2 linked regions of the Astyanax mexicanus genome follow. The protein of the gene in region 1 interacts with the protein of each later gene in a biochemical or structural test. Links are inferred from orthologs where the notes say so. Each region holds a gene or a part of one and is shown on either strand. Other genes may lie near its edges.

Evidence for each region. The genes of interacting proteins can lie anywhere in the genome.
Region 2: the proteins of ocrl (region 1) and rab8a form a complex in vitro, tested with the Homo sapiens proteins (2 studies listed by BioGRID and IntAct, with this or other methods). The link is inferred for Astyanax mexicanus from reciprocal best matches to the Homo sapiens genes OCRL and RAB8A.

What each region holds. Positions count from the first base shown.
Region 1 is NC_064417.1:49,199,317-49,207,625, forward strand, and holds the start of ocrl (inositol polyphosphate 5-phosphatase OCRL), read right to left. Parts: upstream 3,282-8,309; 5' UTR 2,643-3,281; coding exon 2,601-2,642; intron 510-2,600; coding exon 430-509; intron 1-429. Other genes in the region: si:ch73-335m24.2 (protein eva-1 homolog C), read right to left, coding at 6,867-7,264. UniProt on the Homo sapiens protein: Catalyzes the hydrolysis of the 5-position phosphate of phosphatidylinositol 4,5-bisphosphate (PtdIns(4,5)P2) and phosphatidylinositol-3,4,5-bisphosphate (PtdIns(3,4,5)P3), with the greatest catalytic activity towards PtdIns(4,5)P2.
Region 2 is NC_064411.1:48,023,419-48,032,004, reverse strand, and holds the start of rab8a (ras-related protein Rab-8A), read left to right. Parts: upstream 1-5,013; 5' UTR 5,014-5,079; coding exon 5,080-5,203; intron 5,204-7,468; coding exon 7,469-7,529; intron 7,530-8,134; coding exon 8,135-8,195; intron 8,196-8,586. Other genes in the region: tpm4b (tropomyosin 4b), read left to right, coding at 911-993. UniProt on the Homo sapiens protein: The small GTPases Rab are key regulators of intracellular membrane trafficking, from the formation of transport vesicles to their fusion with membranes.

The sequences.
Region 1 (8,309 bases):
CACACTCTGCCTCAGTGCACAATCGTCCAAAGAGTTTTAACACATCCATAGTGATCAGTTTCTTAGTTCCACACTTCCACACTGAAGCAAAACCTTCACAGCTTGAGATAAACTTGTTTTAAGGCCAAAATAGAGTGTGTGAAAGTAATAAGCCACTTAGAAATAGCTATATACATAAATAGGGAACTTTAAAAGCAAATCTAAAGAAAATATGCTTATCAGACTGCTTAATAGTATTAATATACAGAACAGAACACAACACAACACGCACAAGCAAAACAGATACAAATTGTACAGAAATGTACAAAAAAACTCATAGCTGCTCATATAATACACAATAAAAGGTTTCTACACAGAGCTGGAGATTTTTTGCATTTAATATCAGGAGAAAGAAAAATGAAAGACAATTTAAATCAGATAGATACTCACGTAAACTGTCCCGAGCGCTCCAGTAACGAGAGGAGTCTTGGTTCTCGCTGGCCAGCCCTCAGCTCATGCCCCCTCACCGTCTAAGCATTGCAATTAAGGAGTCAAAGGCATGCGGTGGAAGATAAAAGGAAAAATGTAGAGGGGAGATTTACAGAAAAGCTGATATGTTTAACACCTGACTGATCATCAGTGCTCCTCTAGTAGGGTTAGACTGGTCCTAAAGGAATATTACACTGGAAATAGGTCTGTTTTTATAATACATCTTAGTTTGTTTATTTCTGCAGTAGAAATTAACGTAATTAACAATGTTATTATACAGTTTAAAAACACTTTAGGCCACTGATATAAAATATATTTTTGGCCCATTTCCAAAATTTTACATATTTATAACTTACATAGAGACTAGGCATCACAGTAAAACTTTCTAACTTTAAAATGAATAAAAATACATACAAATTGGATTAAATCAATGTATTTTAAAGTAGTGGGGCCAGTGTCAACTGGATACTGAAGTCATTCAGACTATGAAGGAACACGTACGGAATCATGTAGTAACTTAAAAGTGTTAAAAAAATAAATAAATAAATAAATAAATAAATACTAAACTACTTTAGATGCTCTTATCCAGGGTGCTGTTAACTTGCGATTTCTGGCGCTGGAAACACTGATGAACTATCTCTCTTAATTCTTGCACTTCCTTTCATGGGGTGGCCCTGATGAGAGCCAGTTCAATCATAACTGCACTCGAGTAGACTTTTAAAGATCTTAAAATGTTTCGGATTCTAATAAAAAAATTGGTCACAAAAAAAAAAAGAAATGTTTCGGATTGACTGAGCTGGTATGTGTCTCTGTATGTTGAAGAGTCTGACTGCCTGGTGGAAGAAACTGTTCCAGAGTCTAGTGGTGGAGGCTCGGACGGTCTGTTATCTTCAGAGCGAAAATTCACAATGCTGAAGGCTTTGCGGATGCAGCGTGTGGTGTAGATGTCAGTGATGGAGGGGAGTGAGACTCCAATGATCTTCTCAGCTGTCTTCACTATCCGCTGTAGGGTCTCGTGATCCGAGATGTTACAGTTCCCAAACCAGACATTAACGCAGACACTCAAGATGCTCTCTTTAGTATAGGAAGTAGAGGCGCTACTGGGCTTTCTTGGTTTTGGAGCTGGTGTTGAGGGACCAGGTGAGGTTCTCTGCAATGTGAACAAGCAGAGTTGCAACAGCTTCTTTCACCAGGCATTCAGACTCCTCAACTCACAGAGAGATGAAGCTGATGTTGTCTATTGTATTGTTGTTCCATGTTGCATCATGGTTCCTGATGAACATAATTTTGCACCTGTCTTCAGATGTAATGATAATAAAAGCATTTTAACTTCACTCTCTTGGTATTTCTTAGTACTCTAAACTTAGGGTGTGCCATATCGCATCATACGCAATAATATCACCAACATTTTTGAATATCGTGAACGATATTATACCCTGAAATACTGTGCCATATCACCCACCCCTATTTATCACATCAGGGTACTATTTGTTTGCTGTTCTTAGCAAACATAAAATTCACACTGTTCTCATTTCCCATTATATATCTACTAGAGAGTACTAAAGATCATATCTGTGCAGTAGTGTTTATCCTGGATATATGGAGATATTTGGAGAAGTGCATTACTAGTATCATGACATTCTGGATCATTGACTTCTGTTGCAAATCTGATAAAACTCGTATTTTTTTTTAAATATCTCAGTTAGGGGTGTGCTGTATCATATTGTATGCAATAATACATTTAAATATTCATTTTGTTGCAGTAGTGCATTCTTTATATACGTTATTATTTTTATTTAATGTTTTTGTCATATGGCTAAACAATAATAGGCTAGATAGATAGATAGATAGATAGATAGATAGATAGATAGATAGATAGATAGATAGATAGATAGATAGATAGATAGATAGATAAAACTAGGACGTGATAACTAACTAGATAACTGAACAGATCTAAATTGATCTATTCAGTTAAAATAACCTAAACCTACATAATTAACTAACTTAACCAACTTGTTAGCTAGCTAGTTGGATTGTTTATAAATCTATATGCAGCTTGTTAGCTACACTAGCCTCAGTAAGCAGAGTCAGAGCTTTTTTTTAAACCGAAATTAAACCATTTTAAAGGATACAGTCAGACATTTCTCCTCGCAGAGATCCAGAGAAGAATCCATACTTTAGCTCTGTTGTCACTTAGTTCGCTTTACTCCATTAATCTCCTGTTTCTCCGGTCAGGTTAGCAGGCTGTGCTGCTGCAGCTGCAGCTTTTCCTCCCACTGTTTTTCCTCCAGTCCTCCGGTTATTCCTCCGGTTAGTCCTCCAGTCCCCGCCCCAGAATGTTCACCCGTGTCGGCCGGCCTTCAGCCCGAGATACCGGCTCAGCGAGACGCTGTTAGACGCTGTACGCGGAGCTAGCTAGCCTAACTAGCTATGCTAACTAACTAACTCACCGGGCCACGACCCTCTCCTTCCCCAAATCTCCTCAATAAACCACAAAGATTAGTTGTTAATTCAGCTAATTTCGTGTCAACCCGATAAAAAAACTGTTCCCCCGCGAGTTCAGAGACCGGAGAACCGACTCCCCGCAGCTTTAGTATAAAAACAGACACACTAACGACTTCACCCCGACTCTCAAACCGCCGCTTAACAAGCCGAACCGTCCCCAGAACCCTCCAGCCGGACAGCGGTAGCCCCGGTCCTCAGGCTCTCTCAGCGCCGGACTGTCCGCGCCGCCGCCCCGCCAGCTGTCCGCAGCCTCAGCGCTGCATGTTAGTTAGCGTTAGCATTAGCTTTAGCTTTAGCATCGCTGCTCCACATCAGCGTGAGAAAACCGCAGGGCCAAGCGGGCGGAGCGTCTGGACACACCACACTGCGCAGAATGTGCGCATACTGAGCCCTTAAGGTCACATTAAAATAAAAAGAAATAAAAATAGTAATAATAACAATGCGTGGCCACGAATTATTACGGCGTGGAAACGACATTAAGTTGTGGGGACGGCTTATATGGCCAGAACTTAATTATCTAATTCCCACGCCTTAATAATGCGTGGCCACAACTTATTAAGGTGTGGCATCAAGATAATTAAGCTGTGGGGATGGCTTATCAACGTATAGGAACTGGATAATTTAGTCGTGGGGACCACTTATATGGCCAACGACCTAATAAGTAATCCCCTTGACTTAATACGTTGCCCCATGACTTATTATCTCATTCCCTCAATTAAGTGGTGGGAATGATTTATTAAGGTGTGGGAACAACTTATAAAAGTGTGGGAATGAGATAATTAGATCCTGGCCAAATAATCCTGCAACTTAATTATCTCGTTCCCACGCCTTAATGAGTCATCCCCACGACTTTGCCTTAATAACCCCCAACTTAATGATCTTGCCCCCATAATTAAGTCGTGTGGTCACTTATAAAGGTGTAGGAACAAGAATATTAAGTGGTGGGGATGACTTATTAAAGTGTGGGGAAACTTAATTGTCTCGTTCCTATGCCTTATGCCTTAAGTCATCCCCAAGATTATTATTAATTATTAACCCATCTAAATAAGTCCCAAATTATTTATCTCATTCAATGGCTTGATTAAATGGATGAACTTATTAAGGCGTGGGAAGGAGATCATTAAGTCCTGACCATATATGTTGTCGCCATAATTTAATTATCTTGTCCCCACAATTAAATCATGGGGTGACTTATTAAGGTGTGGGAACCAGATAATTAAGTGGTGGGGATTCGTCCCCACAACTTCATTATCTCCTTTTCACCTTAAAAATAGCCCCCACACCCCACTACCATTATTTTAGTGTAATTCAAAGGTGTAATAAACTTGTGACAGTAAGAAATTCTTAGTAAGCAGGTTCTTTCAAACAACAGTAGCAAAAATATAAGATAAGATCATCTAAAAACTGCAGCAAAAATGGAAATGATTCACAGTTTGAATCATTAATGACAGTTATTACTGTCACACTGTAACAAAACAAATGACCATGATTCAATAAATAAAATTAAAATATTAGTCAGCTGATTAAAATGCTGCCTTTATAAATGATAGATAGAAACCATTTAATGATGACTTTCAATGATGTACAAACAAGTTCAGACCACGCCTATATGTTTTTTATGATTATAAATATATAGACAAATAAAAGTTTCAGTTTCAGTTCTGTACAGTTTACTATAGAACAGTGTTCAGTCTGTGTTAAATGGAGAAGCCTCCCTCTGCTGGCCAAACACAAATCATATGATCAATTTTAGAATAAGCAAATTAATCTGTCTGCAAAACACACCACAAAATATTCTGACAAAAACATACTGCCATATATTACATGTTTTAAATGTATTTATTATGTCTGTACATTTTACAAAAAAACATTACAAGAAACGCATTAGACTTTCATCTCTTAGAAATAAAACCTGTATAATAAGAAAAACTTTTGAATTGATGCTGAATTGATGGAACATTGCATAACCATGTAGCTTTTGTTGAGTATTGTAGATTAATGTTAAAGTAAAACCATAGCATACAATTACACCATAGCAAATTGTCTTTATGTGAGAAACTCCTTATATTAATGAGTATATATATACTGACCTCCATAATATTTGTTATAAAGGCATTTTCCTCTGCTCCATTGAAAAAAATCTGACTAATTAGACATGATTAAATATACATTCAATTTTTTTTTTATTTAAGAGTATAATTTTGCATACATTACTTATTATTTACTGTGTTTAAATTACAGGGCCATTCCACAGAATCGGTGCCATTTCTGTCCTTAGGAAATTACATATATAAATGTGCGCCCGAAATAGCTTTAAAATACATTTTATTATTAAAAATAGCGTCTTGTACATTGACCTAATTGCAAAAGTAAAATGTGAAATTAAAAACATTAATAAAAACTACTTAGAACACTGAAAAAAAAGCATTTGTTACCTGTCCCCACTCTCTAACTATAAACTTTACCATGAAATATAATTATTAAAATCCCTCAGAGATGTTTTTTTTTTTTGCATTGTTGTGTGAATCCAAATCCCACCTATGCTTTAAAATGTTTTTTTTTTTTCATAATGAATTCATAATGTTTAAGTTAAAATACACATTTTAGAGTAGTTGTGTCTCTGGGTTTCACTCAGTCCTGAGTCTGGAACATTCTACAACAGGAAGTGACATCAGCTGTTTTTTCTGAAGATCACAGGAAGACCAAAATTAATTTCACTCATTAGTTTTTCTGTATATTTGATCTTATTGTAACGATAACTGAGAGTTCAATCTCAACACTCAGTCCTGTTACCTAAATTAATTTTTAGATTTTATTTGTTTATTCTTAAAATACACATTTTTGGAAAATCACTAGAATGTGCTCAATTCCCTCGTGCTATTAGCATAGCCACTATTTAGCTATTTTTCATGTTTTTGCAAATTCTATGCTATAAACTATTTCCTGTTACTTTAATTTCTGTTTCAGCTCAACATTAGGCTTAAAGAAATATAGAATTCAGAATGGTGGTGAAAGTCTAATAGTCTAGTCTTCAATAAATAATTTAACAAAACAATAATAACTGGGGCATCCCAGTACTACTTCTCAGTATTATACAAGTCAACCTTACCATAATTAGTACAGAGGGAAGTCCATTGCTAACTTCTGGTGTCAGTAAATCATACAAAAACGAAACACAAACATCTAATAACGTTATTTGTTGTATTAACAATGCCAGACTAGCTAACCTACCCTGCACCTGGGAAAAGATTCCCATTTAGATATTTTTCATGGTTTTGCAAATTCTATCCAAAAAATCATTCCTGTTACTCAAAACATACAAAGTAACAGGACTAAGTGACAGTAACAGGAGTGAGTGCCAGTAACAGAAGTGAGTGCCAGTAACAGAAATGAGTGCCATTACCAGGAATGATTCTTTTGTCATAAATATCAATAATTTGAACATGCAACTATTTCTTTAACATAAAGACATTAAAGAAAAATTCAAGGAATAAGTGTTTTTTTCTAATGTAAACAAGCTTTTTATATGTCACAGGAGTTTTGTAACTATCTTCAGATTAGAAACCGTGTAAAACTTAAGTAAAGCTGCCTGAGTTTGACCAATACATGTTTTGAATAGTTTAATACGCATTATTCAATTTAGAGTTGAAAATTATATATATATATATATTTTTAAAAAAAGTTTAATTTGGAAGAGTTACAACTAGAAATGGCACCCGTTCAGTGGAATGGACCTACACTTTTTTTTACATTTTTTAATTCATTTCAGAGCACCATAATGTTTGTGACATTTGGCTTCACTCAGGTTTGTTCCATTGCTTCATTAATGCAGGAATAAGATAATTAGATTTAGTCTGTTGTTAGTAAAGTTGCTTTTTGTTCAGATTTGAGTCTCAGGTAGAAGAAGCCGTGGTTTTGTGGAAGGCGTAAGGGCTGGAGTTACAGTGCGGCCAGAGGTCTCCGTTCGGCAGTTCTGCTCTGTCCCTGTCCTCCTCCGTCCTTTTGTCCTCCATCACCACAGTCATGACCATCTCTGGACTGAGCATGTCTGCGGCGCGGTAGGAGCGAGTGAGGTGACGAAAGCCGGAGTCCAGAGAAGAATAATCGTCATCAAAGTCCTCGATCAGTCCCCTGCGGGACCTGCGGGCGGCCTTCAGCTCGTCCTCCAGCTCAGACACCAGGTCCTTCACGTCCCGCACCAGAGTGGACTTCAGCCCGAACAGACACAGCAGGAACACCAGGCCGGCGCAGATTCCCGACACGAAGTACAGAGCCACCGTCTCCGGGAGACCTTAGAGAATAGAAAAGAAGAAGAAAGAAGAAAGATCGAACATTTCCAGACTGATTTATTCACTCTATCCATCATATAAAGAATGATCAGACTTGTGGAATTGTGGAAGGATGACACACTCAAGAAAAACAAGAAGAATTTTTTTATTTATATTCACTTTTAATAGCAAAAGTCTATAAATCTTGACTCTGCTCCATTTGACTAATTGGAAATGTGACATAAATTTAATTAAGCTTATATGATGATTTATCTTTCACAGTACACAGAGCTTTCATTTGTTTCACACAGAGCTGAAAAGTAGTCTTGGGACACTTTCTGAATACAGTTTAGTTTATGCCTTTATGTGTTAATGTGTGTGTGGAACAAAAATCTAAAATATAAAAAAACATTAAAATAAATCTCTTTATATACAGCTCCAGAAAAAACATAAAGAGACTATATAAAATGATCAATTATTCTAAATGTCTATTTATTGGTATACTGTATGTTTGAGTAAAATGAATATAGTTGTTCAATTCTATATACTACCAACAATATTTTTGTTGCCATTCTTTTTGTAGGTCACTTGACGTCATCCTGCTGTTGCTGACTGATTCAAATAAGTTGACGGTCAATCTTCAGATCCGAACCCCATTCAAAACCTCTAAATATAATCAAAAGGAGGTGGACGACCACCAGGAGTAAAGGCATAAAGTTACCCAAAAGCAGTGTGTAAGACTGGTGGAGGAGAACATGTTGCCAAGATGCATGAAAGCCATGATTAAAAATCAGGGTTATTCCACCAAATATTGATTTCTGAACTCTTAAAATTTTATAAATATGAACTTTTTTTTTGTGCATTATTTGAGGTCTGCAAGCTCTGCATCTTTTTTCTTTTTGGACTATTTCTGATTTTCTGCGAATAAATGCTCTAAATAGCAATATTTTTATTTGGAATTTGGGAGAAATGTTGTCTGTAGTTGTTGATTTTACTCAAACATAAACCTGTAAATAGTAAAATCATAGAAACGGATAATTTTGAAGTAGTTCTCCGTAGCTGTATATA
Region 2 (8,586 bases), on another chromosome or scaffold:
TGCTGTTCCCATAAATGACCTGCTCGCACACCTTCACAACGTGAGGTCAGCAGGTCAGTTTCCTCTGCGGAAAAAAAAGTGCAGAAGCACTGCACTGTTTAAATAGCAATCCGCCAAAGTCAGAGCAAACCTGACTCTACAAGGAAATGGTAACTGACACATTGATTGGTTTATTTCAGGTTACATTCAAAACACACCCATGATTAATCACTTTTAGATCACTAAAATAGGGCTCATAATGTCATCAGTGGTTTGGACCTTCTTGACTATATGACCCTCCTCCTGTTGTGGCATTACCAACTTATCAGCTTAATTGGCTTAATGTTAAAAGGCCAGATTATCTTTAGGCCACTAGTAAAAATATAATGCATAATTTACAGGCATTTTCACACAGACAAAGTGCATTTTTTTATGCAGGTGAAATGTTTGAGAAACAGTTCTGATTTACAAACATGACCTGGCCGAGAGGCCCCAACAGATAAAGGTCTGACACATAAAAAACATGTAAACAAATTAAGAATAAAACAAAATTACAGATTAACATAAACAATCATATGCATTTTAAACTGTTTAAAAGGCAGGAGTAAAAATAGAAAAAAAATGTGGATGGATGGAGTGTATCAGTAGCAGAAGATTTTAAATGCTTGAGTTGAAATACTATCCCATACTTGAAACTTATACTATTTTCAGGACAAATTCAGGGTGAATTGTAATGAAGCATTTCCGCTACAAATGTATAGCTTTATTTACTCTTGCATGAGCTGCGTATCACTTTAACTTTTTCCTCCACCTGCTTTCTTCTCTGATCTCTGACTCTCTCCTTAATTTCCTTTTCTCTCTTTATTCCCGGTCTTCCTCCTACTTCTGCTGCTGCTGCACCTCTTTCCTCTGCTGACCTTCTGATCTCCAGATGAACTGTACGCTCAAAAGCTGAGGGTGAAGGCCATTACTGAGGAGCTGGATCTCGCCCTAAATGACATGACCTCCATGTAGATGAACCTCCCTCACTATCTCTTTTATCACCACTGCCGGTGGAAGATATAAGTGCCTTATAAACCCCCCCTTATCTATTTTTTCCACTATAAAATATGCATAGCGAAGATGCAGGTGCTGCTGAAGCATTAAGAAGTGAGGCTGGCGACCCAGTTCACATCTTACTGTGCCTCTGTTCTTCTGTTCCTCATCTTTTCCTCCTCCTGATTTCTTTTTCTGTGCCTGAAATCTGCTACCTTTATGTTCCGGCTTAAATGATAAAGTTTTAATAAAGTTATTATTAGTAAATCTAATGATCCATGCGCTTTTCCGTTTATTTTAATCAGTTTTCTATCTCTTTATTTTTTCCTTTCCTACACTTTTACACTCACATTTCAAAAGTCATGATATAGCAATATACAAATTTATCATTTATCAAGTGATACATCAAGGGATGGGTTGGAAATTCCTATACCTGTATAAGTTGTGAGGTGTTATTTCGTGTGTGATGCTGGATTATGGGAGTTTGAAATTGATAGTGGATGCAAGGTGGATGGGAAATTCCATTTCCACACTCCAGTCATGCAGGTATTTAACATTCTTTGACCCACAGTGCTTTTGGTCACTGTCTGGAAAGAGCCTTTCCTTTCCACCCACCTCCAAAAAACACACATGGTAGGTAAATTGGACATGCTAAATCACCCCCAGATGTGTGTTACCCTGTCATGGACTGGCACTCTGTCCAGAGGGTATTTCCTCCTTGTACTCACTGATTCCAGACCACCATGATCCTGAACGATGGACGCCACTGAGCAACATACACAGCAAATCTGCCAGTGTTAGATTTACACTATTAATGTTAATTTAACACAAAAATAAAGGTTGCTCACAGTGTTAATTTAACACTAACAGTGTTTATATAACACTGGGGCTTCCCTAAAATGTAAAAAAGGATCAAATTCCATCACAGCCTTAGAATATTGCTAATAAATATAGAATACTGTGAACAAATATAAAGAAAAAAACAACAACCACAGCCTACTGTTAATGAACATGAATTCTGTTCTATAATAATATAAAATGTGTGTATTACACTTATTACAAATAAAAAATTACAGCATGTTTAGTCCAGTACATTAAATTTCAATAAACTCATGTTTTCTTCAAAAGCTAATGCAACATAAAGTAAGATATTATAATATCACAAGTGTGGAGATCTATTATCTGAGGAGGCATAATACGGTTTATGAAACATAAAACAAACATAAAAAATCAGCATAGTCACACAAAAACCCTGTTTCTCCAAATTGGCTATTTTCAAAAAAGAAGAATGAAAAAACTACTTAGTTTTTAATTGTAGTCAATATAAAAAGATTTTATTTCAAGTAATTTTACAGCATTTCTATTGGGGCTGTTTATCATTGCTTAGTTAGTGCTTATTACATATTATGCTGACATTGATAAATACATACCTAGATACACTATATCGCCAAAAATACAGTCGAGAAATTTCCTTAATAATAAATATTCCACAGACAACTGTCAGTGATATTATAACACAGTGGAAGAGGCTGGGAACGACAGCAACTCTCTCTGTCAGTGTAAAATAAAGTGATTCTGACTAACATAGTGCACAAGGGTCACCAACTTTCTGCAGTCAATCATAACACACCTCCAAACTTCATGTGGCCTTCAAGTGAAAGCAGATACTTTTGGCAATATAGTGTATATACTAAATACATAAATATTTCAAATATCTTTATCCGCCTGAATGTCTCAGTGTATCACTGCTTCCCTAAACAAACATATCAACAATAAAAGCCAAAGTTTAGCACTGAAAAAGCCTTTAAACATATGTGACTGTTTGTTGCAGAGAGCATAGCCAACTCAAAGCAGGAGAATCTGAATCTGCACCAAGTCCTGGACCAAACCCTGCAGGAGCTTAACAGCTTGTGAGCATCACAAAGAGGAGACATACCGACAGCAATCAACATTCCACACTTCTCATCAAGCATTCCTGTGTGTGTGTGTGTGTGTGTGTGTGTGTGTGTGTGTGTGTTTGTGTGTGTGTGGTTAAATTGTATTGTTATCTTATATTGTCTGAGTCATGTTCTCTATTTTGGCTCCACACCCTCTCACACATTCTCCCTCACTGCCAAATAGAGGACTTACTTTTATTTTAGAAAGTTGTGACTTTTCATTGAACGCCTGGAAAAGATCTGAATGATGTCACCATCCACATCTGGGAACATTTTCCATATTTGTATCTGTTCCACTTTTCCGTTTTTTATTTATTTCTGCAAAATGTGTCTTAAATAAGCACAAACATTATTTTTCATGTTTTTTTTGTCTCAACACTCTCATATCGATCTTAAATTGACTGTCAAGTAAGGTTTATGATATATCATGTGGATTTAATTAACATATTTACAATAAAATGTCAAGTATGCAGCTTAGTTTAACACTAATTTTTTTTGTCACCTCTTTTTTCCCTTGCACATATAAAAGTCTTTCCAGAATTGTTTGCCAAAACTGATTTTTTTTTTAAACAATAATAAATTTTACACAATTTTGCACAAAACTGTGTGTTTTTACTGAGTGCTATCAGAAGGTAGCCAATGATTTCAGCTTGTGGTTTGTACAGTGCAGAATGTTTTAACGGAATGACAGTTCAAGGGAACTGTGGTGGTCAAAATGAGCTCTAGAAAACAAACAAATTCTGAGGCTATGTCCACACACATTTACATTTTTTTTTTTATAAAAAAACATTTCCCTGTTAGTATCAACACACATTAAAGAAAAATTAAAACATATGTTTCCTTCAAAATTATACACTACTCCCAAAGTACTGTACAGTGCAAGTCACATTACCTAGTAATAAAAAAACTGTATTTATACTTACTCATATGTCAAAATCTGACTTTTTTTGCTATGAGCATGCAGACATTGTTTTTTATGGAGTAGTTTAGGTATTTGAGATTGAGCCAGAATGCATGAGCATGCATTGTGACGTCAGTATTTCAATTCCAAAAGAGTCATAAGAAGGAAACCCTACCAGCTACATCCAGAGAAGCCAAATATGTTTCTGAAACCAATGCTTTGGACTTTTTTGGGGGCTTGAGTAGCTACCAGTGGCCACTGTGTGTGAAAATCATGTCATGAAATACAGTAACAGTAATGGAATGGAAATGGAATGTTCCATCAACATACTTTTACTTTCAAGTTTGTGACATTTGGAGAAAATTCTGTTTTTATCTGACAGGTACAGTATGTCACTTTCTCCAGTGAAACCAGGCAATTTTTTTTTATATCCAGGGATCCATTTGGACATCCCCTGGTACACACATGCATTAGCGTGTACTATTTTTTGCTTTCGATACAAATAAAAAAACATTTATTTGGTGGTATACCACCTTGGTACCACAGTTTGAGAACCACTGCCTAAATGCATCTTTTAAAAAGTTCCCCTTTTATGAATCATCCTTACAATGAAGTTGAGCAGCAGTCACAGCATGTGTGAAGAAGACCTAACCTAACATGAAGTAGGTCCCTGCCAGTCTAGTTCCTCTTATCTAGATTGGCTAAAGAAGTACTGTCAATAGATTAGGACTCCCTGGAGCAGACACAATATCATTTTGCAGCAGGACTTGGCACACTGCCCACACTGACTTTTGGGTTTTTATAGGCTGTAAGCCATAAAATAAATAAATGCTTAAAATAGATTTTTCTGTGTGTAATACATCTTAATATTATATGAGTTTCATATTTTAAACTGAATTACTGAAATAAAGTAACTTTTCAATGATTTTATCAATTTTTGAGATGCACTAGTGTATCCTGTGGATGACTTTTGGGTGGTTCTTTGAATTTTAGTCTGATTGTGGGTGGTACATGGTATAAGATGTGTTCGAGAACCAATGTATTGAGGTATTTTAAGTGGCTATCTATTAGCAGAAAGAGTGTGTGTGTGTGTGTGTGTAAATGTGTGTGTTAAAGTGTGTATGTGTGAGTGTGTGTATGGAGTGAGAAGGGGGCGGGTGTGTGCTCATTACCGCCGTGTGTCTACGCGGCGCTCAGTTACCGGGCGGGATTTCCGCAATATCAAGTATGGCGAAGACTTACGATTATTTGTTTAAACTACTGTTAATCGGGGACTCGGGAGTTGGGAAGACCTGCGTGCTGTTCAGATTCTCAGAGGATGCCTTTAACTCAACGTTTATCTCCACGATAGGTACATTTATTCCAGTTGTTTTTGTCCAGGAAGCTCCAATGACAGGCTGACAGGATCTGCGTTAGCTTTAGCAGCTAGCTACACTTTCTTTCGCTTTGCCGGTAACGTTAGCAAACGCTAGCTAGGTTAAATATCTCTCTATCTGCTCTGTTTTTTAATTCTTCGTCTGTATTTTATCTGTTTTAACCCTTTTATATCTTATTTTTAGCTTTGTCAAAGTGTCAGCTTGGTTTAATTTCAATAAACGACTCTTATTACAGCCTAGTATACACACGGGATATTCAGAGTAGAAGAGGCTGTTCTAATTTCTCAGTTCCACCTTAAAAAGCGCAGCAGTTTAGCGGTTACATTGGGAGGCGCCTGCTCGGACGTTTGAACGTGTGCTGCGCGATTTTAAGGTGGAATTAAATTCGAACGGGAAGCTGCGTGGCTTCGTGATGGTAGCCTGTTAGCATTAGCTAGCGTTAGTTAACCTAGCTATCTGATTTACAAATTAAAAGCTAGCTAGCTAACGTAACGTAGTGTGATTATGGATCAATATTTCATCTATACATAAAATGAGTAACGTTAAATTTAACCACATAATTGGAGGAAAATGCCGCATTAGCAGGCTGGTTAGCAACACGACCTGCTAGCCTAGCTATCTTGTTAGCTAGCTAACCTAGTTATTCACCATCAAGCTTGCTAGTCTTTACGTTAGCTAAGCTAAGCTAAGCTAACCAGCTAGCTAGAGCAGTGGCTGTGAGTAAGCAGTATGTGGTTAGCTAGCTATGCTAACTAGGTTAGATAAGCTGTTAGTCATTTAATATAACTTAGTGGTTAACAAACCTCTATGCCAAAGGCGTTCCTGTAAAATTACGCAGTTAAACTCCGTGTTTGTCGTTCAACAGTCTGTTTACAGCTGTGTATTGATTGTTACTGGTGTTGATCTGTGTCTAAACAGACTAAACTTAACTCCTACAGTATCAACAAGTACTATTTAAAGGTTATTTAGTTTAATAAATCGTTCCTTCAAATTAATACATTGTTTTCAGTTTACACTAAGGCGCCCCCTCTAAACTGTAGATAGCTAGGGAACAATTTATTAATCTATGTTGAGAGAAAAATAAATTAAATTTGGCGAATGGATGGCAAACTGAGGAAACATTTGATTAAATTGGAAGAATGTATGGTAAAATGAGGGAACATTTTATTAAATTGGGACAACGGATAGTAAACTAATTGAACAATTTATTAAATTGGAAGAATGGATGATACAATGGGGGGACAAATTATTCAGTAGGTAGAATGGATAGTAATCAGAGGGAACATTTTTTAACGTACATTGAGGGAACAATTTATTTAATTGGAAGAATGGATGGTAAACTGAGAAAATAATTTATTAACCAACATTGAGGGAATGATTTCTTAAATTGGGAGTATAGATGGTACACTGAGGAAAGAATGTATTAAATTGAGAGGGTGGATAGTAAACTGAGAGAACAATTTATTAACCTACATTGAGGGAATAAGTTATTAAATTGGGAGAATGGATGGTAAAATCCGGGAACAATTTATTAACCTACATTTAGGGAACCATGTATTAAACTGGGAGAATGGATGGTAAACTGAGGGAACAATTTATTAAATTGGGAGAATAGGTGGTAAATCGAGGGGGGAATTATTTAATTCAGAAAACATTTCTTGTCTTATACTAATTGAGGCACAAAGATAATATTAGTTTTCATTTTGGGGAATGCTTAATAATTAAATTGTGGAAACATAAATTGTGGGAACAATTTATTAAATAGTGAGAATGGCTTGTTTAACTTGGTTTAAATTCAGCTAAGGGAATGGTTTATTACAACAGTGGCTTGTTAAACTGAGCTAACAGTGTATTCTAATTTATTCAAAGTATGTATTAACCCTTATTATTATCATTATTATGTATTAAGTAAGTCTGTATTAACCCTTGTAGTGTTACAGCATATCAGTATTTTGGTTTGTTGTTCATAACAAATATTTATATGTTAACATGTTCTATATTTTTCATTAATATAACGTTTGGCAATTATGCTTTTGTCTGGTCTGCAGTCTGTGTAGATGTCTTGAACACACATAGTCAGCCACTGTCTCATTATGGTCAACCAGAGAGGAAGTAAATGTCTGCCTAATGCTTACATTAACCATTTTGCTCAGTCATTTATACTTGCTGAAGAAACTAGAGCAAATTAGAAACTCTATATTTACTCTCAAGTGATGCCTGCTGTGTTTACCTTCTTACAGGTATTGACTTCAAGATAAGGACGATAGAGTTAGATGGAAAGAAGATCAAGTTACAGATATGGTATGTTGCTGAACCTTTGTTTCACAAGCTTTTTGTCGTACTTTCCTTTGTCTAGTGAAAGTGGTGTTTGTGGAAAAGCATTTAAACAAAACAAAAGTGCCAAGAGCTTCAGCTAATCTTCACTGAACGTGTAATGGAATGCCTACCTAATTCCCAACCATTTTCCATAATAAACGTAACCAGAACTACCAGAAGGTAGATTCTTGTAATTCTTGTAGATTCTTGGGCAGTGCAAGATGATTTGTTATTGTGAAAAATGATCACAGCAAGTTTTATTACAAAGAAAGCATGACTAGTTTATGGAGATGCCTCAGTAGTGCAGTTCAAGTTACCTCAACTAACGTTACTATCCTAGGCCTGGACGGCTCATATCTTTCAGCTGGAAAACAGCAGGTTTGTGAATATAGTAACAGTTGTAAAGGTAGTAAATTGAGAACGTGATAAATTATGCTTAATGATTCATTTCTAAATCGTAATTTAAGCAAGTAGAGTGTAAATATTAACTCACAGCATTTTTCTAGTTGACATTGTTTAGTGTAGCAATCATATTTAAGCCATAGAAGCCTCTCCTGGTTTGTTATAACATTTTTATTTGGGTTTTGTAGGGACACGGCAGGACAGGAACGGTTCCGAACAATCACAACGGCATATTACAGAGGGGCGATGGTGAGTTATTGATGTATTGCAAATAAGGGTATGCCATATCATTTTATGTAGTAGTGATATTTTGTCTTGAAAGCAGTCTATTTTGTATTTGTTTTGCGATATGTGTGGAGCTTCAATTTATCTTTGTGTTCAATTGTATCTGTTTGCAGTTAATATGCATGCATTAATATTCTGGCTTCATTTTTGTTTGTTACACAATTAATTTTGTTTTATTATTATTCTTCATCTTGTCTTTTCAATTTTACATTACTGTTTCTACTGAATGTTAAAAACTGTTACACTAAATAAAAAATTAACATTTATTTTATTATTACGATTAGTAGTATTAGTATTTCTCACAGTAATAGCCTGATATATACATCATATGTATATGATATTATTTTAGGGCCTT